2 linked regions of the Rattus norvegicus genome follow. The protein of the gene in region 1 binds, or shares a complex with, the protein of each later gene. Links are inferred from orthologs where the notes say so. Each region holds a gene or a part of one and is shown on either strand. Other genes may lie near its edges.

Region 1 (4,224 bases):
TAAGTTCAAGAAGGCTAGAAAGAAACCAAGGCTGTCATTCCCGTCCTTGAAATCCACTCAAGCAGATATCCCCCCCCCCTCAAGCTCCCATCCTCAGAGACTTAAAAACAGGTACTATCAGCGTAGTCCTGAACGTCATGGAAGTCTACACGACGGCGCCGCCTGTCTTCCTCCAGCAGATCACTCTTAGTGCCACACAGGTAGATTTGACAGCCCTGTAGCAGAAGACAAGGCTGAAATTATCTCCACAGACCAATACAGTCTCTGTCCCTAATCTTGTAGGATCTTGTCACCTACCTCTTCTAAACTGCGGAGCTCCTTAACCCAGAACTTGGCTCTCTCAAAGCTGCTGCTGTCGGTGAGGTCTTGGTAGGGGTAAGACAGGAGACACAATAAGGAACAGTGGCTTCCCGTTGATGCTGGCCTGTAACCCAACTCTTACTTGAACAGGCCAGAGTCCAACCCCTTACCATAACAGACAATTGCAGCTTTAGCACCCCGGTAATAGATTCTGCTCATGGCTTCGTAGCGCTCGGAACCTGCTGTGTCCTGAGGGGTGAAAGGAGTCGATGAGCTCCTTCACAAGACTACAAACTAGGCCCACATCTTCCAGACACCTCCCCTCCTTTTTTCTTAAGATGAGTAAATGGGTGTGCGGAAGAAAAGAACGACCTGTATGAGACTCCGGCTGACCGGTTTAAGAGGCAAGACATTAAATTTCGGGGATAGGTTTGCTCAAGACTCTGTTCTCAAGGGACTTACCCAAATACCCAGAGTCACCGTCCGATCTCCAACACACATCACCTTGGCCACAAAAGCAGCCCCGATGGTCTACAACCAGGGAAGAGATAAGAGTCGAATGCCGGTCGGCCCCCTTCCTCCCAAGCCTGCTCCGCAGGGGTGCACTCACGTTCTGATAGGGCCCCACCAAGAAGCGGTCGTGCACGTATCGTTCCACCAGGCTCGTCTTGCCCACGTATTCCTTGCCCAGCATAACCACCTTGACGTCCACGCGCTGCCCGCTCATGCTCCCGGGGCCGCCTCACCCACTTCAGGGTCTCCGCGGCCCAGGCAGAGCCCAAGCCTCAGACCCCAATCCCAAAGGCCTCGCACTTCGCAGGCTTCTGGTGCCTCGGCCCGGGGCGCTCCGTCCCTTACAGAGCCGCGGCGCGGGGACGCGGACAGCGCCCTCCACCGCGCCGCAGGGCCCTGCGCTGCTCACCCGCGCGACCGTCGCTGCGACAGAAGCTCCGCCGCGCCGGGGTTACCGACTGAAACCGGGTTCCCTATAGCTAACTCCAAACAGCACCTCTGGGACTGGACCACAAGAGGCGGGACGCCCGGTCACGTGACACGAGCGCCGGAAGTGGCCGATCCTGTGCGGCTGGCGCCGGAAGCGTCGCGCAGTCCTATAGCCTCTCATGGCGGCGGTAGGGACCTGGGCGCGGCGCCGCGGTGATTGAGCTGCGAGCCTGGCGGGCGTGCGCCTTGCCACGTGCCCTCCCCACCCCCGGGCTCTTCACCCTGATGCTGCACGGGTGCTGAGCCCGCCCGGGTCGGGACGATGGTGAAGTATTTCCTGGGCCAGAGCGTGCTCCGAAGTTCCTGGGACCAAGTGTTCGCTGCCTTCTGGCAACGGTACCCGAATCCCTATAGGTACGTGGTGGTAGGTAGAGCCAGTCGCCCTCCTCTCTCCATTTGGCTGTCCTTGAATAGTGGAGCCGTGAAAAACTAGAACAGAAAGTCCGATGTGAGCTATCTCCGGTGACTGTGGCCACAGTTATGGCACAAAGTCCTTATAGGATTAAGATCAGGCCAAGTCTGCAAGGTTGTAGATCGTGGTTTATATTAGGCTCTAGATTTCTATTTTGCGGTCGGTCCTAGGGAGACAGGAAGAGTTGAGCGGTAGGTATTTCGGGGCCTGAAATCCTGACGATGGCTTGCTCACCTGCTGGTGGCGCTCTCTAGTGGTATAATTCTTGAGATTTTGCTCGATTTGGAAAGCCACAGAATCCATGTCAGGGTGGAGGAGGGAGTTGGAATTTGCCCGGGGATAGGTTCATTGCACTCTAATTCCGAACCTGGGTACAGATCACTCTGTAAGATTGCAGGAAGCCATGACCTGGAGGCTCTAAATAGTAACCCGTAGACATTTCCTGAGAATCATCTGCATTTTAACACTTGCAGCAAACATGTCTTAACCGAAGACATAGTGCACCGGGAGGTGACCCCTGACCAGAAGCTTCTGTCCCGGAGACTCCTGACCAAGACCAACAGGATGCCACGTTGGGCAGAGCGACTGTTTCCCGCCAACGTTGCTCACTCGGTGTACATCCTGGAGGACTCGATTGTGGACCCACAGAATCAGACCATGACCACCTTCACTTGGAACATCAACCACGCCCGGCTGATGGTGAGACTTCCTTTGGTTCCTCAAAATAGTTGCCCTTCAGATTTCAGGCTGGAGAATTGTGGGAACTTCTGCGGCCAGAGGCGGGCCTCATCTGTAGAGTTCTGCCCTTAGATTGGTCTATCCTTTTTGAGTGGTTGGATTCTCCGGGACTGCCCCTCGGCTCTCAGATGGTGGGGAAAGACACCCATTTTCAAAGCTTGTTACAAGTGCTGTACACAGAGCAGTCGGTTGGTGACATACATACATACATACATACATACATACATACATACATACATACATAGGCTTTCAGGAGTTATACTGGGTGACAAAGGGAGACAGTGACTTCCATCAAGGCTTGGAGGTGTCTGGAATGTGCCTCAGTTTCTGCATGAGATTTGAGGGGATGCATCATGTTCCTTGGATCCTTCGGAAGGCTTGAAATCCCATGTTTGGGGATATTCAGAGTGTCATTTGCCTGTGTGACTAACCTTCAAGCTTCGAGATGATTCTTTCTCAGCTTCTGTAAACTTGAGAGGTGGGAATTGTGTGTTTTGCAAAAGAAAAGCTTTATAAAGATGTGCCCCTCACGGGCACAATGTGAGGAAGGCACCCTTTCCTGCCCGGCACTGTCTGAAGTCACCTCAGCTGAGAGCTCTGCTTGGTAACACAGTGGTGTGTTTGTGACTTCTCTTCACGTTCTTCAGGAGGCTCCCACACCCTTTGATAATAAAAGCTGTCATTATTGGGGGGGAGGGGACGAGAACACACACACACACACACTATCAGGAAGCTCAGAGGGGAGAAAGCAGATGAGAAACACTGTTCACCTCTATATCCAGAGGCCCCAAGCAAAGCCCTGGATCAGGGTGGAATAGCCGCTGATCCCAGGAAACTGCGTTCTACTTCAAAGGGTCAGCATTGAGGTTATAGAGGCAGAACAGCCTCTCTCCGGGCCTGAGATACAAAATGGGAAGAACTTTGTGGGGGCAGGAACTCACCCGATGTTGAGTGCAGGAATATGGTGCTAGCTTGTCTGAGCGTGCCCCTTCAGGGTGCTCAGCCTGACTTCCCTTGAAGGTGGTGGAGGAACGATGTGTTTACTGTGTGAACTCTGACAATAGCGGCTGGACCGAAATCCGTCGGGAGGCCTGGGTCTCCTCTAGCTTATTTGGTGTCTCCAGAGCTGTCCAGGTAAGAGGTTGGGGGCTGGGCTGGGCTGGGCCAGGCCGTGCTGGGCCGGGCCCTGGGTCATTGAGCAACTCTCCCATCATTCTCCTCCTTCCAGGAATTTGGTCTTGCCCGGTTCAAAAGCAATGTGACCAAGACAATGAAGGGCTTTGAATACATCCTGGCCAAGCTACAAGGTGAGAGCCCTAGACACTGTTTCAGGAATCGGGAGGACCCGCACTACCAATAGCTGGAGCGGTCCTACCTCTGCTTAACCAATGAAGCATGGGGCCAGTCTTAGTCTGAGACTCTTTATGTGTGCCCGGAAGGGCTGGAGGGTCAGGAACAGGGGGCTCCAACTATTCCTAAGAAGCCGGGCCCTTCAACAGTGACTGCCGAGGTTGATGAGGGGTTGGATGGGTCTTCTGGGCACCATCTGAAGCCAGCCCCTGTCATTGCCACAGGTGAGGCCCCTTCAAAAACACTTGTTGAGACAGCCAAGGAGGCCAAAGAGAAAGCAAAGGAGACCGCACTGGCAGCTACAGAGAAGGCCAAGGACCTGGCCAACAAGGCCGCCACCAAGCAGCAGCAGCAGCAGCTCGTATAGCCCTCTTCCTCTCCCTCCTCCCCCGTGTACTTGATTATTAAAGATGAACCTGCAG
Region 2 (4,011 bases), on another chromosome or scaffold:
CCAAGAGCCTGCAGGCCTCAAGCAAACTTTTTTTGGCTTCAGGAGCAGTGCCACATCTTCTGAAGATCTTGGATGGGGAAATGACATCAGGTCAACCGCTGCGAAGTACTGGGTAATGAGGTGCGGGGTAATGTTAGGCAAATAGTGATAACTTCTCTGCATCTGAGCATCAGATCAAAGACCGGAAGGAATCAGACTGGAAGGTGAGAAGAACAGGTGACTAACACGATTTAAACTTCGCAAAGCATTTCACCGATTTCCTGAAACTGATGCTACGTGGGTAATACAGGCTTATAATTAGCACTGATGAAACAGCCAGATTCTATCTCCAAAAACAGGTGAAGCATAACTTGTTATTTGGATGTCCCATATTAGCATAAAACTGATTTGAAGATACATACGTACATACATATATGTATATGTATGTATGTATGTATATATATATAAATATATATATGTATATATGTGTAAATATATATATATATTTCTTCAGCTATTTAATCTGATGCTCAGGTAGGCAAGTGAAAACACCTTAGAGGGAATGAACGTGGTTAGTAAGCCGGTACAGGCTGGAGGCGGGTCCTGAAGGAACAGTACACCCGAGAGGGTGGTAGGGGCTCTATGAAGTAGGGGATTTTCGGACTTTGTTCCTATTTACATCGAGACTGGGAAGACTAGAGGATTCTAAACGGGAGTGACAGGATCTATAATGAACTAGGGGAAGAGTGAAGCCATCCTCGCGGTGACCTGACAAATTTCCAATTATGCAAAGAATCTGAAACAGCCTCCAAGGTGCCCGAGTCAAGACGCCGAGGCCGCAGCCGGGAGCTTACCTGTCCTCCAGAACCGACTCCAGGGGCTCCACCCCGTCGGTGTCCACGGCGTGCAGCTGGTCGGCAAAGGCCACGGCTTTCTCTAGCCGGTCCACCGCCTCGCGGCTGCTGAAGTTCACCAGTGCCAGCCGCTCCAGATGCTCGACTACCGCGGCGGACACGCGATCGGTGCCCTCCGGGACTAGGCGTGGAGCCTGGGTCTTCGGGTCCGCCGCCTGGACCTTTCCGCGTGGACCCACTTTGGAAGCAAAACTTCGGCCCCGGTCCAGAGGAGCCCGAAATTGCACCCTCGCCGCCTGTGCCCACATCTTTGCTTCTCGGCCTCCGTAGCGACAAACGGTGGGGCGACGTGCGCGCGCGTGACGACATTAGAGTGCGTCGCCGTCACTGCAGCTGCGGTCGCCATGAACAGCGTCGGGGAGGCTTGCACTGACATGAAGCGCGAGTACGACCAATGCTTTAACCGCTGGTTTGCTGAGAAGTTTCTCAAAGGAGACGGCTCGGGGGACCCGTGCACCGACCTCTTCAAACGCTACCAACAGTGTGTCCAGGTGAGCTTCGCCCGGACCAGCCGCAGGGCTGCAGCAGCCCTCTTCTCCGCCATCCCACCGAAATTGCTTGGGTGTCGCCGCTTGATACACTGGGATGTTTTCGCGGTGCTTTGCTTTTTACATAGTACATTAGTATTTTGTTGTTGTTGCTCATTTGTTTGGTACTTATTCCAACCTTGCAAGTAGTCATAATTATTCGTATCTTTAAAAATTGCCGTGGCCGGGGCGGTGATCGCGCACACCTTTAATATCCTAGCACACAGGAGGCAGAGGCAGGCGGGTCTCTTGAGTAAGAGGCCACCCTGGTTTACAGAGTTGAGTTCCACGACAGCCAGGACTACACGGAAAAACTCCGTCTCTGGGCGGAAAAAAATGTATGTGTTCCCGTCCGGGATATGTGTTCCCGTCCGGGATAATGTCGGAGACAACTAACGGAGTCAGTTTTCTCCTTTCACATTTATGTGGGTTCTGGGGATAAAGTTCAGGACACCAGGCTTGGTGACAAGACGTTCTGTTATCTATACTTTACACATGGAAAAACTCGTACTCAGAAATAGGAAGTGATTGTTCAAAGGCACTGGAGTCTGGTGACCTCGATTATTTTGGTGGTGTCATTTCACTGTTAAGAGTGGATGTGTTTACCGTATGTTTTAGACTGCTAAGGAATTGCAGAGGTCCCGTTTTGTTACGATCTCTTCGTTGCTCTGTTTTTCCTCCACCTGTTGTACCAATAAGGTTTGATTTCAGGCCAGCACTTTTTTTTTTTAAAGATTTATTTATTTTTATTTATATGAGTACATTGAAGCTGTTTTCAGACACACCAGAAGAGGACATCGGATCCTATTAGAGATGGTTGTGAGCCACCATGTGGTTGCTGGGAATTGAACTCAGGACCTCTGGAAGAGCAGTCAGTGCTCTTAACCACTGAGCCATCCCTCCAGCCCTCAAATCAGCACTTCTAACCTAAAACCATCCCCTGGATTCCAGAAGCTACCTTTAGCCAGTTCTCAGACAGTGAAGGTGACTCAAGGTCACATAGCCGCTTAAACTGAGATTCATATTAAACACTGTCACTAAGATAGAGATAGGTACCTGAACTGACCTTCCCAAGAGCAGGCGTGCATACCACACAGGACTTACATGACAGTCTGCACGTCGGTGCTGCTTGGTAAACCAGTGCTAGAGGTACTCACTTTTAATCCCATGACTCAGAGGCAGGCAGATGTGAGTTCTAGACTACCCGGGGCTACACAATGAAACCTTGTCTCAAATAAAGGGTGCCCCTTGTATTGTGGGTTTCAAGCCATTCCAGTTCAGTCTGGTTTACCTCTGTACCATTATACTTCAGTTACAAAACATGGACTGCAAGCTTCCGTGGACTTATAGTACATTTTCTTCCTCCTTCAGAAAGCAATCAAGGAGAAAGAGATTCCTATTGAAGGACTGGAGTTCATGGGCCATGGCAAAGAAAAGCCAGAAAACTCCTCTTGACCTGCCTGTCACTTGGAAGAAGTCAGTAAATTGAGGGGCCTCTGGGTTTTGTCAGGGAAGGCTGTGAAGCTAATCTGGGATTGGAAGAGTTTAGAGGAGAGTTCTCCACCTTGGTGTTCTGAAGGAGCAGCTGTCACTCCTGCTTTGAGGCAACTTCACTTTTGCTGACATCTTGCTGAACTCCTCATGCTACAATGGGAGAGCTTCTTGGGGGGTGGGGTTAGGTTGCAAAACATGGCGTGGAATCATCTTTAACTGGTTCTCGGATGTAAATATGGTGAACTGGTCAGGACCGAGGCTGCCTGACAGCGTTTGCTGCAGAGGACACTGGGTGTACCCTATGGGAGGCATTGCTCACAATGGTTGGCCTCTTTTTCCTCTCAGGGAGCTAATGCTCTGAAAAGGGATGCGGACACAACCTCCATTTCAATCACTGCTTGGAAACATGATTGTATTTTTAGAGTAACAGTTTCAACTGCTGGTGGCCTGGGTTATGGGAGTAGAAAACAGCTTTACTGAGCTCCTGCCTTAACAGAGGTGTCACCTTAACATTCAGAAGCTTTGGAAATGACATCAACACCACTTTGGAGCTCACAGCACTGCTGCTCATAACTCCAGCACCCAGCTGAGCAAGAGGCACCTGCATTACAGGTTTGCTGTTGCTAACTTTCAACTCCACGAATTAACATCAACATGCGTTATCACATAGAAGGCAAAATGCATCCAGCTAAGTGGGGGAAAGGTGCTTACTGATTTTTGTTTGCCTACCATGCCCTAAGTCTGTAATCATGAAATAAATAAATCTTAAAAATCACATCTTACTCTCCACTTCTGAAACCTGCCCTCTATTGAACAGTATTTCCTGTTGTCTTGTGTATCTCATTTTGTTGCAGAGCCAGCTTGGCTCTGAACTTGGTTTAAGCCTAGGTGACTGATCAGCACTTAGATTAGAAATCTGACTTTGTGGCTGGCCTCCCACCTTTGCTGAAACCACACTGGATTACGAGTTCACTATCACACTCACCTATATAAACAGCCCCTTTAAATATTATTCAGTGTGGTTCCAAACCAATGTTACGTAGTCCTCACACCTGCCTACCTTCAACAGGATTTATTATGTCCCTAAAGACAGATGA

Evidence for each region. The genes of interacting proteins can lie anywhere in the genome.
Region 2: the proteins of Prelid1 (region 1) and Triap1 are in contact, whole or in part, in a crystal structure (PDB 6I3V), measured with the Homo sapiens proteins. The link is inferred for Rattus norvegicus from reciprocal best matches to the Homo sapiens genes PRELID1 and TRIAP1. Residues at the interface, in NP_037369.1 of Homo sapiens: Trp15, Asp16, Phe19, Ala20, Trp23, Gln24, Tyr26, Pro27, Val34, Leu35, Thr36, Glu37, Asp38, Ile39, Val40, His41, Arg42, Val44, Gln48, Lys49, Leu50, Leu51, Ser52, Arg53, Leu55, Thr57, Tyr79, Leu81, Asp83, Ser84; in NP_057483.1 of Homo sapiens: Met1, Asn2, Ser3, Val4, Lys12, Tyr15, Asp16, Phe19, Asn20, Trp22, Phe23, Phe27, Leu28, Gly30, Asp31, Ser32, Phe41, Tyr44, Gln45, Val48, Gln49, Ile52, Ile57, Pro58, Ile59, Leu62, Glu63, Phe64, Met65, Gly66.

What each region holds. Positions count from the first base shown.
Region 1 is NC_086035.1:9,310,711-9,314,934, reverse strand, and holds the start of Prelid1 (PRELI domain-containing protein 1, mitochondrial), read left to right. Parts: upstream 1-1,423; 5' UTR 1,424-1,564; coding exon 1,565-1,656; intron 1,657-2,187; coding exon 2,188-2,413; intron 2,414-3,472; coding exon 3,473-3,586; intron 3,587-3,680; coding exon 3,681-3,759; intron 3,760-4,026; coding exon 4,027-4,169; 3' UTR 4,170-4,224. Other genes in the region: Rab24 (ras-related protein Rab-24), read right to left, coding at 116-215, 298-365, 471-549, 763-831, 911-1,027. UniProt on the Homo sapiens protein: Involved in the modulation of the mitochondrial apoptotic pathway by ensuring the accumulation of cardiolipin (CL) in mitochondrial membranes.
Region 2 is NC_086030.1:46,927,959-46,931,969, reverse strand, and holds Triap1 (TP53-regulated inhibitor of apoptosis 1), read left to right. Parts: upstream 1-1,203; 5' UTR 1,204-1,237; coding exon 1,238-1,384; intron 1,385-2,791; coding exon 2,792-2,875; 3' UTR 2,876-3,697; downstream 3,698-4,011. Other genes in the region: Gatc (glutamyl-tRNA(Gln) amidotransferase subunit C, mitochondrial), read right to left, coding at 834-1,141. UniProt on the Homo sapiens protein: Involved in the modulation of the mitochondrial apoptotic pathway by ensuring the accumulation of cardiolipin (CL) in mitochondrial membranes.